Oryctolagus cuniculus: one gene and its partners. The protein of the gene in region 3 purifies or fractionates together with the protein of the main gene of each other region. This does not show direct contact. Links are inferred from orthologs where the notes say so. Each region holds a gene or a part of one and is shown on either strand. Other genes may lie near its edges. The genes, in order: SF3A1, PRPF19, PLRG1, SF3A2, SF3B1 and XAB2.

What was found.
Region 1: the proteins of PLRG1 (region 3) and SF3A1 fractionate together in Homo sapiens (co-fractionation; 3 studies listed by BioGRID and IntAct, with this or other methods). This does not show direct contact. The link is inferred for Oryctolagus cuniculus from reciprocal best matches to the Homo sapiens genes PLRG1 and SF3A1.
Region 2: the proteins of PLRG1 (region 3) and PRPF19 purify together in Homo sapiens (affinity purification with mass spectrometry; 8 studies listed by BioGRID and IntAct, counting the BioPlex papers as one, with this or other methods). This does not show direct contact. The link is inferred for Oryctolagus cuniculus from reciprocal best matches to the Homo sapiens genes PLRG1 and PRPF19.
Region 4: the proteins of PLRG1 (region 3) and SF3A2 purify together in Homo sapiens (affinity purification with mass spectrometry; 3 studies listed by BioGRID and IntAct, with this or other methods). This does not show direct contact. The link is inferred for Oryctolagus cuniculus from reciprocal best matches to the Homo sapiens genes PLRG1 and SF3A2.
Region 5: the proteins of PLRG1 (region 3) and SF3B1 purify together in Homo sapiens (co-immunoprecipitation; 3 studies listed by BioGRID and IntAct, with this or other methods). This does not show direct contact. The link is inferred for Oryctolagus cuniculus from reciprocal best matches to the Homo sapiens genes PLRG1 and SF3B1.
Region 6: the proteins of PLRG1 (region 3) and XAB2 purify together in Homo sapiens (affinity purification with mass spectrometry; 3 studies listed by BioGRID and IntAct, counting the BioPlex papers as one, with this or other methods). This does not show direct contact. The link is inferred for Oryctolagus cuniculus from reciprocal best matches to the Homo sapiens genes PLRG1 and XAB2.

The regions. Positions count from the first base shown.
Region 1 is NC_091452.1:23,649,577-23,653,076, forward strand, and holds part of SF3A1 (splicing factor 3A subunit 1), read right to left. Parts: intron 2,253-3,500; coding exon 2,178-2,252; intron 1,513-2,177; coding exon 1,362-1,512; intron 1,056-1,361; coding exon 862-1,055; intron 19-861; coding exon 1-18. UniProt on the Homo sapiens protein: Component of the 17S U2 SnRNP complex of the spliceosome, a large ribonucleoprotein complex that removes introns from transcribed pre-mRNAs.
Region 2 is NC_091432.1:11,685,777-11,689,856, reverse strand, and holds the start of PRPF19 (pre-mRNA-processing factor 19), read right to left. Parts: upstream 2,801-4,080; 5' UTR 2,578-2,800; coding exon 2,559-2,577; intron 848-2,558; coding exon 698-847; intron 589-697; coding exon 512-588; intron 1-511. UniProt on the Homo sapiens protein: Ubiquitin-protein ligase which is a core component of several complexes mainly involved pre-mRNA splicing and DNA repair. Required for pre-mRNA splicing as component of the spliceosome.
Region 3 is NC_091439.1:11,048,617-11,052,116, forward strand, and holds part of PLRG1 (pleiotropic regulator 1), read right to left. Parts: intron 2,516-3,500; coding exon 2,462-2,515; intron 1,655-2,461; coding exon 1,561-1,654; intron 1,352-1,560; coding exon 1,264-1,351; intron 80-1,263; coding exon 1-79. UniProt on the Homo sapiens protein: Involved in pre-mRNA splicing as component of the spliceosome. Component of the PRP19-CDC5L complex that forms an integral part of the spliceosome and is required for activating pre-mRNA splicing.
Region 4 is NC_091447.1:59,110,251-59,114,377, reverse strand, and holds the start of SF3A2 (splicing factor 3A subunit 2), read right to left. Parts: upstream 2,801-4,127; 5' UTR 2,645-2,800; intron 2,021-2,644; exon of another isoform or gene 1,914-2,020; intron 1,623-1,913; 5' UTR 1,589-1,622; coding exon 1,463-1,588; intron 1,356-1,462; coding exon 1,284-1,355; intron 894-1,283; coding exon 847-893; intron 662-846; coding exon 552-661; intron 286-551; coding exon 236-285; intron 126-235; coding exon 1-125. Other genes in the region: PLEKHJ1 (pleckstrin homology domain-containing family J member 1), read left to right, coding at 3,131-3,224, 3,303-3,370, 3,460-3,526, 3,600-3,690, 3,821-3,884, 3,973-4,089. UniProt on the Homo sapiens protein: Component of the 17S U2 SnRNP complex of the spliceosome, a large ribonucleoprotein complex that removes introns from transcribed pre-mRNAs.
Region 5 is NC_091434.1:42,860,595-42,863,957, reverse strand, and holds part of SF3B1 (splicing factor 3B subunit 1), read right to left. Parts: intron 872-3,363; coding exon 655-871; intron 1-654. UniProt on the Homo sapiens protein: Component of the 17S U2 SnRNP complex of the spliceosome, a large ribonucleoprotein complex that removes introns from transcribed pre-mRNAs.
Region 6 is NW_027208201.1:3,941,837-3,946,052, forward strand, and holds the start of XAB2 (pre-mRNA-splicing factor SYF1), read right to left. Parts: upstream 2,801-4,216; 5' UTR 2,705-2,800; coding exon 2,654-2,704; intron 1,736-2,653; coding exon 1,587-1,735; intron 1,276-1,586; coding exon 1,152-1,275; intron 964-1,151; coding exon 766-963; intron 124-765; coding exon 1-123. Other genes in the region: protein PET100 homolog, mitochondrial, read left to right, coding at 3,014-3,040, 3,726-3,812, 3,985-4,017, 4,183-4,216. UniProt on the Homo sapiens protein: Involved in pre-mRNA splicing as component of the spliceosome. Involved in transcription-coupled repair (TCR), transcription and pre-mRNA splicing.

The DNA of each region.
Region 1 (3,500 bases), on a different chromosome or scaffold from region 3:
TTCTTCATCATCTGAACCCTGAAATGCAAAGCCATGGTAGGTCTCAGAGAGGGCACAGAGCCACCTCCCTGTGGCTAAGCCCCGGAAGCCGAGGATAGCAAAGAGTCTTGGCCCCCGCCAGGCCATGTCCACGTGCTAAGCCTCGCAGGGCAGCCGAGGCCAGCCGGCAGCAGGCCAAGCTGCTTCCTCACAGCATGAATGGGAGCGCTGGGGGCCATGCGCTAACACTCCTCCCAGGCACTTCCAGCAGTTGGCACCAGGCAGTCCCAAGAGGCCAAGGGCACTTAACACACTGGGGAGGGGTGTCGGGCGTGAGTCAGTACTCAATGCAGCCGCTCACAGGGCAATGCTGGGAGGGAGCGAAAAAGTCAATTCCCACAGACACAGGGGCCCTTTCTTCTCGGGCTGCACACAAATTCTTTTTGGAGGGGGGAGAGCAGGGTAGCTCTGGAGACTATGCTGCTCGGAAGGCCTGGGCTGCACGGGCAGGGCCGTCTGGAAGGAGTGCACACCACGTTTAGAACAGCTCTGGAACTGCTGATCATCCGGGGCTGGCTAAATGCACCCGCATGGGGCGGTGCAGGGAGCTCCTAGGCGAGGGCTGCAGTGGGGCAGGGAGTGCAGTGCCTCTGGGTCGAGGGGAAGGCCACAGAACAGGGTCGGCACAGCTTCTAGATCCTGGCCTGCGAATGCACCTGTTTTCAGAGCTGCAGAGAGGCTCCGAGTTGCCTGGGCTTGAGCAGCTGCCTGGCCTCGTGCCGGGCCTGCGCCTCCCAGGCCATCGCTGGTCCTGGTGGACGTCAGCCCGACCGCCGGGAGCTGCAGGGGAGAGGTCACCCGCAGGCCCGCCCGGGAGCTCACCTCATCCATGTCTTGCACCTGGGTGTCCTGGTCCAGCTGGGAAGGAGGCTCCTCTGCCTTCTCCTGTTTCTCATCCTCCTCATCAGACTCAACCTCCATCTCAACCTCCTCGCTCTCCCCGAACTTCTCATATCGCTCCTGAATAAGGATGCGCGCACCCAGCTCCTCCGGCGTGGTGGGGGGAGGGAAGTTCCCTGGAACAGGGAGAGCCGAAGTCAAAGGGCTGCCCTACCAAAGGCCACCCCTTGCCCATCTGTCTGGAGGCGAGAGCTTGGGGATGTGTCCGATTTCTCTGCCCTCAGATGCCCAGCACGATCTGGTGACCAGGATTTAGCTCAGGCAAAGCGGTAGAAATGAAGTCTTCCGGCAACAGAGAGGAGACAGACACTGAAAAAGCCGCTGGGGATCCCGCTGCTCCCAGGGAACACGTCCACCGGGTCTCCAGGGCAGGGCCGGCGCCGAGCTCCTGGCTCCCGTCTGGAGGCTCTCCTCACACCTACCTTGCTCATTGGGCTGGAAGTCCACTGTCTCCACCACCACAAAATCATGCCAGTCAATCTGGGCATAAGCCACCCGCTCCTTCTCCTTCTCCTCCTCCTCCTTCTTCCTCTCGCGCTCCTGGAACTTGGCCCACTCCACGCGGTAACACACCTGCAGGGAGGGGCAACAGCATGGCACAGAGGTGGATGGCTCAGCCCCCAGGGAGGCTCTAACCCCCAGGGCCTCCACCAAAGCCAGCAACTCCTTAAGAGCAGGATGCTCCTCTGCCCTCAAAGGAAACTTCCTGAAGCAAACTACAGCAAGCCCAGAGTCCGGACAGGACGGAAATTCTAAATGCTACAGAAACCCTCCATCTGGGACCCAAGATTTCTGCTTGAGTTGGCAAGGAGCTCAGGCCTCCCAGGGTGGCAAAACCTCCAGGAAGCCTGTGGCCTCAAGGGAAACAGCAGTGGGAGAAACAGAAGCCTTCACATAGCAATTAAAACCAGCCAGCACCAATGTGCCTCCTGGACTCTGACAACCTGAGGGCTTCAAAGGGCATCTGCCACTGGAGGGCCGGGGGTGGCCTTCGAGACAGAGAAGAAAGAGGGAGCTCTGTTAAAACTGACAGTGGAACAGAAAGCAGTGCCACGCTGGGAAACACAGGGGATCCAGGTTTCTTTGGTTCTGTGGCCACAAGGCCTTTCACCCCAGCATTCCAAGCCTGGAGCGGAACAGGGCGCTGCCGCCTGGCCTGTGTCCAAGCACCAAACGGAACTCATGTGGTGGAGCTCGTACCATTAGTAACTGCTTGCAAGAAATCACACCGAGTTTACCTGATCCAAAACTTCTCGGGGGTTTTCAGCCTCTTTCTTGAGCTTTGTAAATAAGCCTTTGGGTGGAATCAGAATCTGAAACGGAAGAGTTAAAGCCCCTGTCAGTATGTCAACCAGGGACAAAGAAGGGGCCTTCCTGGCCTGGGCTCAGGTGCAGGAGATGGGAAAGCGGGGGATTCTGGGTCCCAATCCCAGCTCCAGCTGGCTGTGGGACTCTGGCCAAGTTACTCAGCCCTAGGAACTTGGTTTCCTTCTATAAAATAGCAACAACCCCACCTAAAGTCAGCACCGTCGACTTAAAAAGGTCGTTCCAAGGATTAGCAGGAACACGTATCTGAAGCCTGGTAGACCACCCAGAACACAGCTGCTCTCAGGAGACCCATCTGCTGTCCCTCTGCAAGTGCTCCTCAGGCTACTGCTGACTCCACGGAGCACCCCTCCCGCCCCACCCCTGCCTTCTTCCCCACAGTGTGCAGCACCATCTGAGGCACATGGGCACTGCACTTGTCTCCTCCTCACTAAGCTAGAGACTCCACTAGGACAGGAACTGGGGCTCTGTTCAGTTACATCCCAGCGCCTTAAGTGCTGGCTGACACTCAGTGCGCATTTACTGAAAGAGCGCACGCAGCCTGTGTTCTAAGCAAAGTGGCCCAGCCCTACCACTCTCGCTACCTCTGCCCCGGGATGTATCTGCTCCAAGTCTTCCACGGCTCGAGACACACCTGTGCCCTCAAATTACAGCAGTAAACGCCAACACTCAAGGTGAAGGAAAGAACCCGGAAAGTAACAGAATGAAGAGGGTTCTGGGAGCAGGCACTTAGCCTAGCTGGAAAGATGCCAACTAAGACGCCCCCGTCCCACTCCAAGGTACCTGGTGGGTGTGAGACCTGGCTCTGGCTCCTGACTCTATTTCTGGCTAATGGAGACCCTGTGAGGCACAACGGTGGCTCACATAACTGAGCTCTCGCCACACATGCGGGAGATCAGGATTGGGTTCCTGGCTCCCAGTTTCGTTGCAGGTTATTTGGGGAATAAGCCAGCAGGTGGGATCTCTAATAAATAAATAAAAGTAAACGAAAAGGGGTCTGGAGACCTTTAACACTGTGAAGTGTTAAAGGAGAAATGAAGCCAGAGCCACTGAAAACCGATACTGCGCATTTACAGCCACGCTTTGGCCTTCAATAATTGTTACTTCAGCTACCTTCACAGCTCCTAGATTTGGTTATTTTCTAAACACACACATTTTTACAGTTCTTTCTAGTTATATGCTTGGCATGACTGAAGCTGGAGAAAATCCAAGTCCTTTCACGTTAGACTTTTAAT
Region 2 (4,080 bases), on a different chromosome or scaffold from region 3:
GCCAGCTCTTTCCCATCACCATACTCTTTAATTTACTGGTCAGTCATGGACGTCACACTGTTGTCTCTCTAAAGGAGATAATGCTACTGCTGTGGATTGACCACCTTCATCGTGTGAGACAACGTGCCCATCCCAAGATGCACGCACGCATTCCTTCACTCGCTGGGATTTACCGAGTACCTACCATGTCCCAGACACTGCTCTCGGTGCTGGCAAAACACTGATGAAAAAAAGTACTCCCCTGATGTCACTAAGTGGACACTCTAGTTTTATTCTACGCCTCAGAAACTCTAAGCCAGGCACCAATCTATGTGATACAGTCAGGAAAATCAGGGCTCAGAGCAATAAATCCAGTCACACTGCTCATGAGCGAGAGAGAGAAGCGTGGGATCCAGGTTGTGTGACTTCACCACCAAGCTCCCCCTGTGCTGCCTTCCCCCACCCCACGTCCTAGTCCAGGGATATACTCTCTCTGAGTGGGGGAGACATCAGCTTTCTCCCAGGAACTTACCCACTCATCCTGCAAGGCTTTCAGGATGGCTGGGATGCTGGTGGCTGAGGGGGGCTTGGGCCGGATTGGGTGGGCAACTGCCAAGAGAGGAAAGTCAGGTGTGAAAACCTGTAACCCAGGCAACCCCCCTACCCCAACCTCAGGTTCTGAGCCAAGAGGCCCACACTGAGGCCGACCAACGGGTACCTTTGATGTCGATGAGCTGCTCCTCGGAGAGAGGCTGGTTGTTAATGGGGTCTGTACCATTCTCAGCAATGTACTTCTCTATGAGCCGCCGCTCGTAGACGTGATTAGAGACGGGGGACACGCACGGGTGTTCTGGCACTTCATTGGAGACTGCAGAGAAAGGCAGGCAGTAGGCTTGGGATGAAAGACAATCTGGGGCCGAGGGGATTCCTAACTGCCACCAGCCCAACAAGTCCCCACATCCACTCAACTCAGGGGAAGCACATGATGCCAAGGCAGCTTTAGGCTAGCCCCTAAATGTTCTCCAGCTACCTATGTGGCTTCTCCATTGGTCTCTCGAAAGCCTGGGTGGTCAAAAATTAACTACTACACAGCTCCTATGCACTGGGCACCCAGAATGCAGTCAATAAGCCCTGCCATCTCATTTTCAACAGGTAGTTGGGGACCCACACCAGAGAGTTACTCTCCACACCCTGGAGAGCGTGTGAAGCCATTCAGGCAGCTGCCATCCACCTCAGTCACAACCCTAACTGGATCAGGAGACACAGGGACTACACAGCAGCATGACAGACACCAGGGTACCAGAACCATTTACACGGTGCTCACTCCGTGCCGGCCAGGATGCTAAGCACTTCACACAGGTGCACCTGTCCCCCCAACAACCTCCAAGCAGTTCTCATACACATTCTTGCCCTGGGAGACAGTGCCCCCCTGAAGGGCAGTGAGCACAGCCCGTCTGGTACTTCAGTCCAACGCAGACGCCCTGCAGCACCCAACAAATCGGGTGGATGAGTGCAGGCTCGGGCCGGGGCTCAGGAGGGGGCACCTCCAGGTGTGGCAGTCCGGCATGGGCAACACTTTGGACTAACCAGAAGCAGGCTGAGGCTCAGTGTCTCTTGCCCCCTCTCTCTCTGCACCCCCAACCCAAGCGTGGTGGCAATGGAGGTATCGCTGAATTCCTTATCTATCCCAACACAGGCTCTCCAAGAGAAATACATGGATCACGGATGCGTCCTCTGGAATCTCATCACTCAGGGGAGACTGGCTCACGTCGGGAGAGGCCGAAGGTCTCCGGGCAGAGGAGGTCACTTAATCTCTTCAAGGCAGCTCTGCGACACTGTTCACTATGACTGCCTGGGCCTAGTCGTCTGCACCAGACAATAATCGGTCCGCTGTCAGTCTGGCCCCATCAACCAGCTCTCGCGGGCACTGGCTGTGCCCCTCCACAGGAGCCCCACTCCTCCCGAGCCCTACAGTCCCATTTGTACGCCTCCCGCAGGGAATTCCTGCGAGGACAAAACGAGATCGTGGGCTTGGAAGCGTGCTGTAAACCAATGTGTGTGCTCTTTTTATCAGTCATGCACAGCGCGCGGCTGGGAGCCGGACACCTGGCTTCCAGCCCCGTCGGCCTCTCGCTCCCTGCGTGACCTTCGCAAACTGCAGAGGCTCCAACTATCCGTGCGAGACCTCCGACGAGACCCAACGCAATGCTCTCAGTCTCGCAGACGGGGAAACTGAGGCCCAGCGTCTCGCGCCACATCGCAAGGCCGATCGAAGGCTGCTGCTGGACAAATCCTCAGGTTTCCTGGCTCCTACACCACGGCGGCTTCCCCTGCACCAGCTCCTCTGCCCAGGCCTGCCCAGTGGGCCCAAGTGACCCCTGCGACAATAAACCTGAGGTGATAAGTAAACTGCGCCAACACTGCGCCAAATACACGCCGCCGTAAGGGGCAGAGCACCCCGTGCTGACAGGCGGCCCGTTCCCGCCTCCGCCCGACCCCGGCGCCGCAGCGGCCTGCACACTAGCCCTCTCCTCTCTCCCGCCTCCTGCGACCTGAGATCGCCAGCGGCCAGTACTCACTAGAGCAGATCAGGGACATGGCGCCGACGCAGCGCTCTGAGGCGCCTTACTCAGGGCTCCGGGTCTACCTTCGGCGCCTCTGCGGGCTACTTCCGGTTCCCCCGCTGCTTCCGGACGCTCCGCGGTAAGCAGGGAGCTACCCCGCGGAGCGATGCCCGCGTAGCGTTTCACGTGGGAGTGTGGCCGGTCGCGCGCCTCAGCCTTCAGCACCTAACGGAAACTGCCCTTTCCCAGAATGCAACGGCACAGGAAAGAGCCCGCCCCGGGACAATCGGCTGTCTCCGGATTCACTCGGCTTCTTCCGTGAAGCCTTCAGGGGCGGGGCAAGCAGCGGAGAGGCGATCCGAAACTACACTTCCCATAGTGCAATGGGAACTTAAAGGGCTAGTCGTTCTGTACTGAGCTATTGGAATGCAGTCTTTCGAATCTCATGTAGATTTCTCGGGTCTGCCTTAGAAAGTCTGAAAGTGCCTCACGTAATTCTGAGGCAGGTGTTTTCTGGGCTGCCCTTTGAGAGACACTGCTGGCCGACCTGGTGAAGAAAGCACAGGGAGAGGAACACTGTCCAAGAAATTGAAGGCCCTACTCCTACCACAGTTTGCTCGGTGGTCTTAGACAAGTTGCCGGCTTCACCGCCCCTTCGTCCTTCTAGGTCCCTTGCAGTTCGGATAGTGTCTGGTTCTTCGTGGGGATCAGTAAAATGGGATATTCTCGAGATTCACGTAGGGAAGCAGACAAAGGTGTAGGACGGACAGGTGTGGTCAGCGAAGACTTCTGCGCTGGACTTCCGCAGGTGGGCATTGTCAGAGAAGAAGGAGAATGGAGTATTCTAGAAGGGGCAACAGCGTGAGCACAGGCTTGGGGAGAAGAATTAATGGCGGAGGGGGCAAGAGCGTGGACTCGACAGTCAAACTGTGCCCAAATGCCAGCTCCACACAGGTGGTCCACGGTACGGACTCTACGCCTCTGTTTCTTCGGCTGTAAATAGAGGAAGTGATAACCAGGGTATGTTTCTTTTCTTCCTGATTTTATATTTTTACTGAAAAGGGTATATTTAACATGAAGACCACAGAGGCTTCTGCTCTGCACCCTGACGGACCAGGTCAGATGGAAGCCCTTACGATGAGGCTGTTCATGTTGCCAAACCCAAACTGAATTGTTATCTGATCTTTCAAGCAGTTACTAAACCGAGATAACAGCTATGTTCCCTAAACAACCCAGTGTGGTCCCTAAACAGGGCAAGTTCCCTAAGCAGGCATAATGACGGTTCTGATAAGCTCTCTGCTTTAATCCTTACAAACAGTGACCTGAAGTCATCTGGTGCTGATGAATCCATCATTTTTTACCTTATTCAGTCTCCCTGTCCCCGCCCTCCAAGGAAAGTGGGTTACCAATTCACATTTTGTTCTTTCTGTTTTGTTTTCAACTCCATGAAGCCAACCTCCTCTGCCCAAACCCTTGGACACTTCCTTTGTTCTGTTGGTGGGAGTGTTGCCTGACTCTAATGGAAATCAAAGCCAAT
Region 3 (3,500 bases):
GCCACTGGGGTTTGGGCATTGTAGGGGCTTTTTTAGCCATTAGTGCAGAGTTCTTGGTATTGCCAGTCTCCACAATCATCTAGATATGGAATAAATTACATTATATTAAACATATCACACCAAAGGTTTCATGTGATCAATTAAAAAAAGGAAGCTAAAATAAGATATTTATCAGTACTGTATTTTCTGTATGTTAATTCTAAAAACCAATTAAAAAAAAAACCAGAGAGGCAGAACATTTACACACAGATATCACTGTGTATGTGTTCAAAATGCAAGCCTACTAGCCGCCTTGTTTGCAAAACAGGAAGAACAGTGCTGTATCATGGGGTTATTATAAAGATTTAAAATACTGTACATGCTTTATGCGAGCTCCCATGTCACCGAAGTCATTTAAGTGTATTTCCACTGTTGAATTTTATTATTACTGATTCAATATAGCAAAGGAGAGACTGACAGCTCCTACTAACCTTTTAATATAATATTTAAACATTACTTCAAAAGATAAACTAGCTGATAACTTTTAAAATATATTATTAGTATCTATCTATTCATCCCCAAAATATTTCAGCCCATAAAGTTCCTGCCCTTAAGAAGCTTAAATTACAACCTCATGAAGAGACAGAAAGCCTGGAAAATGGAAGATTAAAAAGAAAAACAAGGCATATGAAAGTCACAAATACATTCACTTCATAAAGCCAAATCAACCGCAAAGGAAACTGAGGAAGCCAAGCCCACACTTATTTCAGATAATAGCACATTTTCAGTTGTTCTTTCTACAATTCTCACTTATACTAGCCCCAATTGTCATTTACTCACAGATAAAATTAATGTATTTCTAAATGTTCATTTTTAAGACAAGTTTTATAGCCCATAAATTTTTACACACCATTAGCATTCAACTGTACCTGTGCACATCATCTTAAAGTTTAATTAAAAAAAACCTTTCAAATATGACCCAAGTTTCAGAATAATACTCCTTGCATTTTTAATATCAATATCACACCAAATACATAGTATGTACATGTGCAAATGGACACAGAAATACAAAATTTTAAATTCTAAAAAAATTGCTTATTTACTAACAACTTAGTTTTAGGGATATGAAGCATTAACAACTACCTGAGGATGCTATTTACCTTAATTCCAAGGATGTGTTCATTTCTTTAATATTTAAGGTAAGACTTTTGGGATAAAAATAAATAAGGCAGCACACTCTGAGAGCTGGAAATCTTTAGTGCTATCTGACACAGGGAAACTTACTGCATTCCCCACTGCAGGCTGTGTGCGATCCGAAGCACCAGGAAGTCGGTATTCACCCCCGCCAGGTGCAGTACGATTGGCATCAACCCTGAGACAAAGAAAATTGCACATTGTGAGCAATGCCTCCACCATGTATCCTGCAAAACCAATCCTTTTATTTCAAATTTTTCTAAGCCCTGACAAAGGAAAATATCATATAATATGTGTTATAAAGAAACAAATGTAAATAACGAAAAAAGTGTGAAAAGTATAATGCACTTCCAAAATCTTTACAATTACACGCACAGCACTTCATACCTGGTCTGAGAAGAAGGTAACGTCACTGCTAAGGCCTGTGCAGCCGATTCACTTGGCATCCTTTGGATCTTAGTATCTGCTGTCAGAGCAACCCCTATTAACATAAAAAAAAAAAAAACTCTTCTCATAGCTATCTTTGTTTTCATTTACATGCATTTGAAATAAAGCACCAGAGGAAAACATACACAAGTTACTGTCTTCAAGTGGTGATATCACAAAAATTGGATGATGAAATTTTGCTTGTCTTTGTTTTTAACAATAAATACACTTACCACATACCTCATGTTTGACCTGCTCATAAGCAGCTTGGTATTAAAGCAGCCCAAAAAAGCCAAGTTTAAATTTCTGTGAAATTCCAGAATTACCTTCAACAGTAAAAACCAAGCATTTCTTTAAATACTGAGCTTCTAGGAGTGAATTTAAGTTACTACCATCAGAAGCAGCCAGCTCCCTTGCATTTTCTACAATATTAAGCTCTTTGTGCCATACCCTATTATGCTAGTCACAGTGTCCATGTGCCAACCCCTCTACACACACACACACACCCGGGGGACACCTTCCCACTGTACATATTTCAACACTAACAATTCTTCATTCATGTGGTCAGTGATATTTACATGCCTTTCTAAACCACCAGCCAACAAATTTCTCTAGGCTTGGAGCAGTTTTATCGTCTGTGAATTCCTAGCACAATGCTTGAAAAAATATAAGAGTTTAATAATGTTTGCTAAATTACTGTATATAAATATTAGTTAGTTATATTCTAAAAAGCTATGTGTGGATGCCGGGCTGTTGAGTTTAACCTGTATTCTATAGGTAATTCGAATGTCATTATTGCCTCATTCAAGGAAATATTTGTGACAATAAAATAAGACAATTTCTGTAATCATAGTTCACTCACCAGGTCCTGGTGGGTATGGATGTGTACCTGTCACCAAATACTCAACTTCTTGTCCTAAAAAGAAAAATTAATCAATGGTGAATTTATCTTATACACAAGTTATCTTTTTAAATACATCCATATCATCAACTGGATTTCTCAAATTTTCCCAACTAAACTGCAATCTCAGATATACAAGATATTGACCATATTTTCAAAATTATTTACATGTTATTTGAGAGCAGAGAGAATTTCTCATCTGTTGCTTCACCCCCAAAATGCCCACAATAGCCAGGGACAGACCAGGCCAAAGCCAGTAGCTGAGAACTCAAGCCAGGTCTCCTGTACGGGCTGCCCAGACACAGTCTCATGAGTCATCACTTGCTGTCTCCTACACTTTAGCAGGAACGTTAGAACTGGCAGCAGACCTGGGACTCCATCCCAGGCTCTCATATGAGATGCAGGCATCCCAAGTGGTGTTTTCACCAACAGGCCAAATGCCCAGTCCATCATGTTTGCTTTGACCTCTATAAATCATGTACACGGCTACGTCCTTGCCCAGTTGCTGACATGAGTTCAAAAAGGCTCATGCATTTGCTACAGTGATGGTGCCACAGAGTGAGCTTATTAAATGACAATCCACTCCAGTTTTTCTTCTAAGCAAAAGGCAATGGCTTCCTGTGGAATCTAGAGTCTTTTCTTCATTACAATTGCACAAGTTGTATCCATAATCCAAAAATCTAAAACCTTTAGATTTTTAGATTTTAATGCTCTAAAACTTAAAATACTGAAATAATGTGACACCGAAAATTCCACACCTAACCTCATGTGAAGCAGGCACACTAAAAACAGTGAATAAAATTATCTTCAGGTTATCAATAAAAGGTATATACGAAACATAATAAAGAATCTTGTGTTTAGATTTACACATACACAAATATTCCAAAATCTGAAAAAACAGAATCAGAAATGCAAAACACGTCTGGCCTCGAGCATTTTGTTATGGGCTACTCAATTTGTCCTTGAATTTCATCTTTCTCAATTACAGTAAGGCTAGGTA
Region 4 (4,127 bases), on a different chromosome or scaffold from region 3:
TCGTAGGGCTCGGCGGCCATCAGCAGGTACTGCCAGCGCCGGTCCGGGGGCTCGATCCTCTGCTCGTAGGCCGACATGAAGCGGTGCCGGGGGGTGATGCCCTCGGCGATCTCGGGGTAGTCGATCTGCGGGCGGGCAGTGTCAGGGGCCCCCAGCCCCCACTGCCCCCCGCCCCCGCAGCCCCCACCCGGCCCCGCCCCCGCGGCCCCCCCCCCGACCCCGCGGCCCCGCCCACCTGGAAGAGCAGGCTCTGCTGGCCCATCTCCGTGTCCCGCTGCTTGGTCACTGCAACACCAGGGCCGGTGAGGGGCCCCCCCGCAGCCCCACGTCCCGCCCAGGGCGGCAGGTGAGGCCCAGGTCCCAGCTCAGAGGGCCGGCCCAGGGCTGCACGCCACAGCCCCGCCTGCCCCTCCGTGCCCAGGACCCCGCCTGCCCACAGCCCCACGGCCTCGCCTGTCCCCGCCTGCCCCTCCCTGCCCAGGGCCTCGCCTGTCCCCGCCTGCCCCCCCCCCCCCGCCCAGGGCTGGTGTCGGGCGGCCCCGCCCCCTCACCTTTGTAGCCAGGGCGTCCGATCTTCACGAACTTCTTCACCTCCACCTTGACCTTCTCGGGCGCGGGCTGGGCGGGCGCCTCCTTGGCCTCCTTGGCTGCGCGCCGGGCCCTGGGGCGGGGCAGACGGGCGCTGTGGTCCTCCACACCAGGCCAAGGCCACGGGCGCAGGTGCAGGAGCCCCCCTGCCCGGCCTTGGGCTCCCGCGGGGGGGGTGAGGGGCGGGGCCCTGCGGCTGGGGGGCGGGTCAAGGGGCCCTCCCCCGTGTCACAGCCGGGGGGCGCGGGGGGCACTCACAAGTTGGTCTGATGCTTCTTCCCTTGAGTGTGTGCGAGGTAGCTGCCCTGCGTGGAGGAGGCGGGACATGAGGCCGGGGGCGGGGCCAGGCCGGTGGGCGGGGTAGCGGCAGGCGGGGTGGGGGAGGACCAGGCCGAACAGTGGACAGGGCGGGAGGGGGGGACCAAGCCGGCCGGGGGGTGGGGCAGCGGCAGGCGGGGGTCAGGCCGGGGGCGGGGGGATCAGGCCGGCTGGGGGCGGGGCCAGGCCGGTGGCAGGCAGGAGCGGGGGACCAGGCCGGCCAGTGGACAGGGCGGGAAGGGGGGGGATCAGGCCGGCCGGTGGAGGGGGGGGGCCAGGCCGGCCGGTGGGCGGGGCGGGGGCGAGGGGTTCAGGCCGGCCGGTGGGCGGGGCGGGGGCAGGCAGGGGCGGGGGCAGGGTACCAGGCCGGCCAGTACCTCGTTGTTGTGCAGGGTCAGGCACAGCTTGCACTCGTAGGAGCCCAGGTGGTTCTTCATGAAGTAGGGGTCCTGGGGGAGAGCGGCGCGGGGCGTCAGGGGCGTCAGGGGCGTCGGGGGCGTCGGGCGCGTCGGGGGCGTCGGGGGCGCCCCGCGGGGGGGCGGGCGGGCGGCCCTACCTTGTTGATGTCGATGGTCTCCAGGGCCAGCTGCCGCAGGCGCTCGCGGCGGTCCCGGTTGCTCTCGGAGGAGGAGGCCACGCCCCCACTCCCGGTCTTGCCGCCGGGGCGGTGCTGGAAGTCCATGGTGCCGGCCTGCGGACCTCAGCGCCGGAGAAGCCTGCGGAGCCCAGACCGGGGGGGGCCCTCAGGACGCGGCGGGGGCCGGAGACCCCAGGAGGCAGCCCCCAGCCCCTCCCGGGCGCACCCACGCGGGCTCTCCCGTGTCAGCCGCCGGGCCCAGCCGCGGGCGTCGGGGAGAACGGGGGCGCGGACGACCGCCTGGCGCCCCCCCGCCGTCCACTCCCCAATGCCCCTAAGCCAGGGCTGGGCCTCCCCGTGGACGGCAGGGGCCGCTCGGGCCCCATTCGGGCACTGGCCCGAGTCCTGGCTGCCGGCCCGGGCCCCGCACCTGCTCTGACCCGGCCCGGCCCGGCCCGGCCTCCGGGGACTGGACCGGCGGGAGGAGACCCCGCCCCTGCGACCCCGACTTCCGGGCACGGCGCGGGCGGCCCGGCTGACCCCAGGGCGCTACCGGGCCCGCCCGCGGTCCACGCACGAGCCGCCCCCGGCTGACCCCAGGGCGACCCGGGCCCGCCCGCGGTCCACGCACGAGCCCTGGCGGCCCCACAGCCCCTCCATCGGGACGCGAACCCAGGACCTCAGGGCTGGGGGAGGGGGAACCACGCGAAGGGACAGTCGGACAGCGGACCGAGGGGAAGACGCGGCCCCGGGCACGCAGGCTTGCGGGAGGGAAATCTAAGACGCAGCCGCATCGCCGTCCGCACCCGGGACGCCCCGCAGCCCCCCGGGCGCCCGCGACCGACCCCCACGACGACAAAGGCGCCAGCGGGGGCGGCCTCGGGGGTCCCGGCGGCTTTTGGCGGGAACGCCGGCACGCACCCCCGCGCGCGGCCCCGCGGCCCGGGCCCGCCCCGCCGAGCAGCCGAAGGCCCGCGGCCGCTCCCCGGACCCCGGAGCCCGCCCCGGACGGACGCGAGACCCCCGCGACCCCCGCGACGCCCGCCGCGGAGTTCCGGAGGGCCGGGGTCGCCGTGGGGCCCGCCGCCCGCCCCGGCCCCTCCCTCCCGCGCCCCCAGCCCACCCTGGGCGCCCCGGGGCCCCGATGGCCCCCGCGCCTACTTCGTGTGGGTCGCGCCCCGCGTCGCAGGCCTCCGCCGTCCGCCTCAGGAGCCGCCGCCACGACGTCGCAGTGCGCACGCGCGGCGCGGGCGCTCGCAGCACTTCCGGAGGGAGGACGGGCCCTCGAGTGTGCGCATGCGCGTGCCCGAGGCGCGCCTGCGCACAACGCGCTCCGCGCGCGCACCCGCGTCGGCTCTTGGGGGCGGGGGCGGGAACCGGTAACGCCCCGTCCGCCCGCGCTCGGCGGTCCTTCGATCCTGCTTGCGCCTCAGACCCACTTTATTCCGCGGCTGTGTCGCGGCTGCCCGGCGTGTACCCACGCCCCAGCACGCCGCGGTCGCAGCGCGCAAGACTCGCCCGTGGCGCGCAGGCGCAATGGCGCTTCCGGGGCTCCGACCTGGGATCTTTCTGGCGCGAGCGGGGACGGCGGCCGAGAGGGCTCAGAGCTAGCAGCGCGCGTTCCCGGTCCCGGGCAGCGCCGGCGCCATGCGCTACAACGAGAAGGAGCTGCAGGCGCTGTCCCGGCAGCCGGCCGAGATGGCGGCTGAGCTGGGCATGCGGGGCCCCAAGAAGGGCAGCGGTGAGCGGGCGCGGGCGCGGGCGGGGGCGCGGGGGCGCGGGGGCGCGCGGCCGCCCTGAGCCCGCTGTGTGCCCGCAGTGCTGAAGCGGCGCCTGGTGAAGCTGGTGGTGAACTTCCTCTTCTACTTCCGCACGGACGAGGCCGAGGTGGGCGCGGGGCGCGGGGCGCGGGGGCGGGGCGCGGCGCGGGGCGCGCGGGCGCGGGGCGGCCCCGCTCACGGCGCGTGTGCCCGCAGCCCGTCGGAGCCCTCTTGCTGGAGCGCTGCCGGGTCGCCCAGGAGGAGGCGCGGAGCTTCTCCATCGGTGAGTGCGCGGGCCGGGCGGGGCGGCGCGGGCGCGGGGCGGGCGCGGGCACCCACAGCGGCCGCTCCCGCAGGCTTCCTGGAGGACCCGGAGAGGAAGTACGTGTTCGAGTGCGGCAGCGAGGAGCAGTGCCGGCAGTGGACGGAGGCGCTGCGCAGGGCCAGGTGGGGCCGGGGCGGCGGGGGCGGCGGGGGCGGCGGGCGCGGCGGGCGCGGCGGGCGCGACGGGGGCGGCGGGCGCGGCGGGCGCGGCGGGGGCGGCGGCCTGACCCCGCGGGCACGGCCTCTCCCGCAGCTACGAGGTCATGCGGAGGAGCCTCATCTTCTACCGGAATGAGATCCAGAAGATGACGGGCAAGGTGCGGGGGGCGCGTGCGGGGCGGCCGGGCGGGCGGGGCTCCCGGCCCCGGGCCCCGGGTCACCGCGTCTCCCCGCCCGCCGCCCTAGGACCCCCTGGAGCAGTTCGGGATCTCCGCGGAGGCCCGCTTCCAGATCAGCAGCCCGCCCAGCGACGGGCGGCCGGCGGGCACCGGGCCCGGGCCCGGGCTGGACGCGCTGGACTGACCCCGGCCCGGCCGAGCCTGCGTGGGAGGGGTTCCTGG
Region 5 (3,363 bases), on a different chromosome or scaffold from region 3:
TGAGAAAGCAGCAGAAAATGGCCCAAGTGCTTGGGCCCTTAGACCCATGTGGCAGACCAGAAGCAGCTCATGGTTACTGGCTTCTTCCCGATTCAGCCCCAGCTGTTGCAGCCAGCTTAGGAGTGAACCAGTGGCAGGAAGACCTCTCTCTCTCCCTTTTTTTTTCCCCTAAAAGATTTTATTTATTTATTTATTTGAGAGGCAGAGTTACAGAGAGAGACAGAGAAAGGCCTTCCATTTACTGGTTCACTCTCAAATGGTCACAACAGCCAAGGCTGGGCTAATCCAAAGCCAGGAGCCAGGAGCTTCTTCTGGGTCTTCCATGCGGGTAACAGGAGCCCAAATATTTGGGCCATCTTCTACTTTCCCAGGCAATAGCAAAGAGCTGGATACGAAGAGTAGTAGCTGGGACTCGAACCAGTGCCCACACGAGATGCCAGTGCCATAGATGTACCACAGCGCCAGCCCCTGTAATTTTTTCAAATAAATAAAATAAATCTTTTAAAACAAAATTACAATGGCAAAGATAATATCTAAGCCTCCCCTTATGGACACAATACATCCTTTCAATAATCAGAATAACAACTTAATTTAGTATTTTGAACAGAATTACTTTTCTTGTTGAGTAATCTTTTAAAAAAAACTTTAACCTACCTGTAAACAATATTGCAACATTCTACACGGGCCAATAGCGACTCTCAGACCCTCCAGAGCTCCCATAACAGCCTGAATTACATGAGGCGATGTCTCAAACACATTAGGCCATACGTAGTTCAACAGGTGGTTCAGTGAATCTTCACAACCAAATCCATAAACCCCAAGTGACATGTGCTGTACCACTGCACTAGCTGTCTGCCTGTGTACAAGGTCCCTGCAGTGGACAGAAAGAATTCATTGTTAAGATAGTGTTAGTTCCTTAGTTTTACAGGAAATATTCATAAGAATTTAGAAACTTAATTCAAGACTCAATTTCTAGAGAGGAAAAAAGATAAACAATTCTTTCAAACCTATACAAAAACCTACATAAAAACATCATCTCCTAGGTTAACTGATTTTATGTTTATGACAAATCAAAATCCTTCTATAATTGAGTATAAGCATCAGGTAACACAATCAGATTTGTGATGGGTATGAAAATGAATTCGGCCGGCGCCGCGGCTCACTAGGCTAATCCTCCGCCTAGCGGCGCCGGCACACCGGGTTCTAGTCCCGGTCGGGGCGCCGGATTCTGTCCCGGTTGCCCCTCTTCCAGGCCAGCCCTCTGCTGTGGCCAGGGAGTGCAGTGGAGGATGGCCCAGGTGCTTGGGCCCTGCACCCCATGGGAGACCAGGAAAAGCACCTGGCTCCTGGCTCCTGCCATCGGATCAGCGTGGTGCGCCGGCCGCAGCGCGCCGGCCGCGGCGGCCATTGGAGGGTGAACCAACGGCAAAGGAAGACCTTTCTCTCTGTCTCTCTCTCTCACTGTCCACTCTGCCTGTCAAAAAAAAAAAAAATAAAATAAAAAAAAAAAATAAAAAAAATGAATTCACACACTCTGCCCCAAAGATAGTAAGAACACCTCAAGGTGTAAGAAAACAATTTGTATTTACTAACATCCTTATTGTTCTCATTTATTATAATGTCTGATTTATTCAGTGTCAAAGTTCTTCATTCATAATTTTTCCCCACTAAAGTATTGATTCGTCTGATTTCACAATTTTTGATGGAGTTACTACCTTATTAGTACACAGAACATAATTTTTAACTGCAGCTCACATTTATCAATGACCCTATGATGCTCAGGTACTTCTCACCAAACAATGTACTTCAAGGATGATTCACCCTCACTTTGTTCCACAGTAGGTGGCCAACCTCTTCCAGAAAACAGTTCTTATTTTGTCTCCATGTCTTGCAAATAAAGCTTCTGATAATTTGTCAATTACAGTTAAAATGCCCTCTTAGAAGGTCACCAATGGGTTATCTTTAATCTGCACATAATAGAAACTGAATGGGCTCTAACTTAAGTAATTTATCTCTCCTGTAAAATAATGAGCCAGTGAAACAATTCTTTGCCCTATTATATGGACCTTCTTCTTTTCTTCATGCCAGTGATGGGGAAGGTATAGCCCACCAGCCATACAAGGCCTGCAAAATGATTTGGTCTGGTCTTGCCAAGACAATCATAGGCAGGACTCGAAACTCAGTAAATCTACATCAGGCTAATTTTTTAAGTTAATTTTTTATGGCCTGTGAATGATGTTATAAATATCTACATGGCCCTTGACAGAAAAAAGGTTCTCCACCTTTGCTTCATAAACATCACCTACAGTTACTTTTGTGTTTAAGGTTACATCGGTCTAAATGGTACAAGGTATTAGAAATCTGTCGGCCGGCGCCGCGGCTCACTAGGCTAATCCTCCGCCTAGCGGCGCCGGCACACCGGGTTCTAGTCCCGGTCGGGGCGCCGGATTCTGTCCCGGTTGCCCCTCTTCCAGGCCAGCCCTCTGCTGTGGCCAGGGAGTGCAGTGGAGGATGGCCCAGGTGTTTGGGCCCTGCACCCCATGGGAGACCAGGAAAAGCACCTGGCTCCTGGCTCCTGTCATCGGATCAGCGCGGTGCGCCGGCCGCAGCGCGGCGGCCATTGGAGAGTGAACCAACGGCAAAAGGAAGACCTTTCTCTCTGTCTCTCTCTCTCACTGTCCACTCTGCCTGTCAAAAAAAAAAAAAAAAAAAAAAAAAAAAGAAAGAAAGAAAGAAAGAAATCTGTCAAATTAATTTGAGTAATACTGTATTGAGAGACACCAACTGAACCACCAGGGGTCTGCAATGGAAAACAGTGTGGTTCTGGCAAGCCATATTCAGTAGGTCAAAAGCTTAAGCGAAATTTCTTTAATCTGTAATAAAAATCATGAAGATCAGGTCTCTGCCATGTTAACTATTGCTTATCATTTCCTCTAATTATATTTGACTAATTTTTAAAACAAACGATCAATTACTGCTTTTCAAAATGTATTGTCTGGCCGGCGCCGTGGCTCAACAGGCTAATCCTCCGCCTAGTGGCGCCGGCATCCCGGGTTCTAGTCCCGGTCGGGGCACCAGATTCTGTCCCGGTTGCCCCTCTTCCAGGCCAGCTCTCTGCTGTGGCCCAGGAGTGCAGTGGAGGATGGCCCAAGTGCTTGGGCCCTGCACCTGCATGGGAGACCAGGAGAAGCACCTGGCTCCTGGCTTCGGATCTGGCCGCAGCGGCCATTGCGGGGCGAACCAACGGAAAAGGAAGACCTTTCTCTGTCTCTCTCTCTCACTGTCCACTCTGCCTGTCAAAAAAAAAAAAAAAAAAAAAAGTATTGTCTAACAGATATGAAAAGTAATTAAAAATGGGGTGAG
Region 6 (4,216 bases), on a different chromosome or scaffold from region 3:
CTTGCCCGCCTTGGACACGAACCGCTCATCATTCACCACGGTGGCCAGGCGCTGGGCGGCCTCATCCAGCCGGTCGCTCGACTTGAGGTACTCAATGTATTCTTCTGCGCTCTCAGGACTCAGCTGGGGACCGCCCGACCCCACCGACGATCAGTGGGGCTGTGGGGCTACACGCGCCACCCCCCGCCCCGTACAGGCTCTGGGCCTGGAGCCACTGACCTGGCCAACAGTCAGCCCCCCTGCCTCCCAGCCCCGCGGGAGCCCTCCCTCACTCCTGACCACTCCAGCCCTCCATCCACCTCGGCCCCACTGGTCCGGCCTTGATGACAGCGGTCTAGCCTGGGCCCCGTGGGTCCTGCCCAGACCAGGCCTTGCTCTCATCACAATCCCCCCACCCCAGCAGTGCTGTGCTGGCTCGTGGCGCACAACTGCCCAAACTGCACCCCACCCTACCCGCACCTGCTCTCTCAACCCTGCCTGCCCCAGCCCCACCCAGCCACCTCCTGCCCTCACCATGGCTGGGGTCTTATCCTGGCTTAGCTGTCAGCTTGAATGCACCTGTCTACCCAGTTAGACTGGAAGCTCCGTGCAGGTGGGGACTGGTTTATTCACACTGATCCCAGCACCTGGTTCTAGGCTGATGTGGAGCAGGGGCCAGCAAACTACTTAGAAAATGAAGAAACAAGTCACGAGCAGAAGCTGTGTGTCTCCGGGAGCCCTCTCCTCCCATCCCACACAGGGCACTGGCCCACCTGATGCACTCACCTTGAGGAAGCGCCGGTAGCCTCGCACAGCGGTCTCCGGCAGGGGGTGTGAGCGCAGGAAGCGCAGGTACAAGGGCCAGATCCGAGAGTGCTGTGTGATGGGCAGGGCCCGGAGGGCGCGGTCAAAGGTGCGGCGGGTGTGTGTGACGCGGCCCTGGTCCATCAGGAACTGGCAGTAATCCAGCCACAGACGGGGCATCTGCATGCGTGGGCGGAGGCAGCCAGCTGTGAGCCGTGACAGACACCAGTGTCCCGTGGCCAAGCTGCCTCTGGGGCCTCGACACAAGTGCAGGACCTAGAGGCCCCAGCTCCAGGGCAGAGTCCAGCCCGACCACGGGGCACAGAGGCCACGGAGCTCCCACCCCTGCCCAGCCACGCCGAGCCCACCTTGTGCATGAACACAAAGGCCCGCTCGTGGCAGTTGTTGACGTCTTCGTAGGCGGGGTCGGTCACACAGCGATGCTTCACCTGCGCCCGCCGCGCCTTCAGGTAGCGGTACCAGAGCTTGTAGCTGGGGAACGAGGGGCCAGACGCTGATGGGTCGGCGTCAACAACCCCTCGCCCTGCCCCAGGGCACAAGGGAGGGGTGACCTGTCTCAGCAATACAGGGGGCACGGACTGAGGCATCAGGGTACGAGCAGAGCGGCTGCCTGGGAGCCACCTGCCAGTTCTGTCGTAACTGGACCGGGAGGGGCGGGAGGGGCGGGGGGGGGGCGGGTGGGCGGGGCCCCACCTGCAGGGCAGGGGCGGGGGCGGGTGGGCGGGGCCCCACCGGCAGGGGCAGGGGCAGGGGCAGGGGCGGGTGGGTGGGTGGGGCCCCACCTGCAGGGCAGCAGCTTGAGCGCCCGCTCATACAGCTGGTTCAGCCTGGGCTTCGGGGCGCCCTGTTTGAACTCGATGTAGCGCAGCCAGCATTTGACGGAGAACTGGTTCCGCATGATCTCCTCCTCGTAGGGGAGGTCCTCTTCCTCCTGTAGGGGCCGGGAGGAAGGGAGATCTGCCCTCAGAGCCGGGAAGCAGCGCCACCCCTTAGGCCCCCCCAGCCCACCGTCCGAGCCAGGTCATCACACACCCAGACTCCTCAGACCGCCGGGCTTCCAGACATAACGCTGTCACCAGGACTCGAGTCCTCCAAATCCCGCCACCCACCCTCTGTCCCAGGTCACCAAGACACCAGGGCCCTGGTCTACACGTCGGACTTGTGAGCAGCACAGGACAGTATCTCCTCACTGCATGCCTCTCCCCAAACGCCAGGTGCTTAGACTCTCGCACCTGACGCCATCTCCACCTCGGCCACAGGAACTGTCAGGTGCAGCTACTAAGTCATTGGCCCACAGCCAGTGTCTGGCTCAGCTCTGCCCCAGAACCTGGAAGCTAGGTCTTTATTTCAGAAGGTATGGGCCAGACACGGAGCCCCTAACCCCTGGACGCCAAGAATCTCGGGGTGATGCCAGGCCTCTACTCGGACATCAAGACTTCCGCCCGATAAGCTCCACACCGCAGGGTTCCCCTAGCTCGGGCAACAAACCGTTACCCCAGAAATCAGAGCCCTGGCCTGGTCACCAACTCTAATTTTCAAGGCCCACTTGGGCGAATCCTCCTCCCGTTTCCCGTGCGCCGCCATTTCAGCCTTCAACCCGAGACGCCAGGCCCTTAACCTCCACAGCAGTTCTTTATGCAGGCCACCGGGATCCGGGCTCGACCCCGGAGCTCTACTCCTGGCCAGTCCAAGACAGACATCACTAGCCGGCCTCTGGCCCGTTAGGGTCCCCTAGCCTTTGCGTTCCCAGTTTTGGCCTAAGTCCCCCGGAAGGCCATGCTCCCATACCTCAAGACATTCAGGTGCATATATCCCTACAGGGGCCACCCCTACCCCAACGCGGACTCACAAAGACAAGATCCGGCCGCTCGGGCCGTGAGATGCGCGCCATCACCACCATTTTCCTAGCTGTCCAGGTAGAAGCGAGAGTCGCGCACTTATGACGTCTCCTATGAAAAGTCCCGCCCCTCGAGCCAGACCCATTTTCTATTGGCTGAACGCTTCTTGACAGCGCGGCCCTCGGTGTTGACTTCCGTGTAGGCGCCGCCAGTGACCGGAAGTCGAGTAGAGGCGCCTGAAGATTACGACATCCTGGAGCTCATTGACCAATCAGCATCAGCAGTGTATTTCGCGAAACACCAGTGAACTGCTGTCTTGCTGGAGAGTCCGCTGTGGGCGGAAGTGGCTTTATAGACCTGGAGAAACGGAGATGGGGGTGAAGCTGGAAGTGTTTCGGGTCAGTGAGCACAGGTGTGGGTTGGGAGGCTGCATCGGGGGAACTACAGAGAGGAAGTGCCCTGGGAAGAAAGCTCTCGAGACTGGAAAGGGCCTTTACGTTTGGAAATCCAGAGGAGGGGGCGGCTAGGTTGAGGGGCTCGGAGTGGGGCGCCCGGGTTGGGGGCTTTGGGAGCCTTGATCTCGTAGGGATTGGTGAGCCCAGGACGGGGCTGTAAGAAGGAAAAGTTTCAGATCCTGAGGGGACTCCTGGGCTCATGGTGGGCGTGGTTGTGGCTCTGATTGGGTGACCCTAGTAGTCTTAGGGCAGGAAACGTGCGGAGAGGCCTCCGGGGGTTTCAGGTGCTCCAGGTATCTGAATGAGGGGGGTGGGTGATGAGGTTTCGAGGGGGTACCTTTGACTGTCATAGGAGCAGCTGCGGCGCTAGGAGCAGTTGCGTGTGTGCCTGTGCGTTGCACATGTGTGTCTTCGACTCGCAGCCTGGAGAGGGTGGTCAGGGATAAGGACTCTGGGGTGATGTGGGGTGAGCTTTTAAGGTGGGAGGCTTCTGCACCCTTGGTGGCGATTTTGGAGCACCTGGGCTGGGCAGGGGGGTGGGCCGTCCGTTCTCAGCCACGCTGCGTGTTACCGGGGGTGGTAGTAGCCATCCCAGCTTCTACTCACCCGCCCACCCCCAACTCTGCAGATGACGCTGTACCTCACGTTCCCTGTGGCAATGTTCTGGATTTCCAATCAGGCCAACTGGTTCGAGGACTATGTCGTGCAGCGCAAGGTGGGCACCCGGAGGAGTGCTCACGGGTCAGAATGCCCCGGGGTGGGGGGAGGGGATGGGACAGGAACCTACCGGGGGACCCATGTCTGCCTCTCTTGGTTCAGCACTGCCCTGGGCGCGGGGCTGGGGAAGCTCCTGGCCCGCGCCCTTGTCTGTGACTTTGTCCCCACAGAGAGAGCTGTGGCCACCGGAAAAGGAGGGCCAGGTAAGCAAGCTACTCCCCCTCCCCCCAGGTGCCCCTGGCTGTGATGGTGGGGGTGGGGCGGTCCCCACTGGACATGGAAGCCGTGGCCTGAGGAAGTAGGGGAGAAGATGGTGGGAGAGGGGCCCAGGTCCCGAGCCGCGTGCCCACCTGCTTCCCCTCCCCCAGCGCCAAGAGCTCGAAGAATTCAAAGAGAGGATCC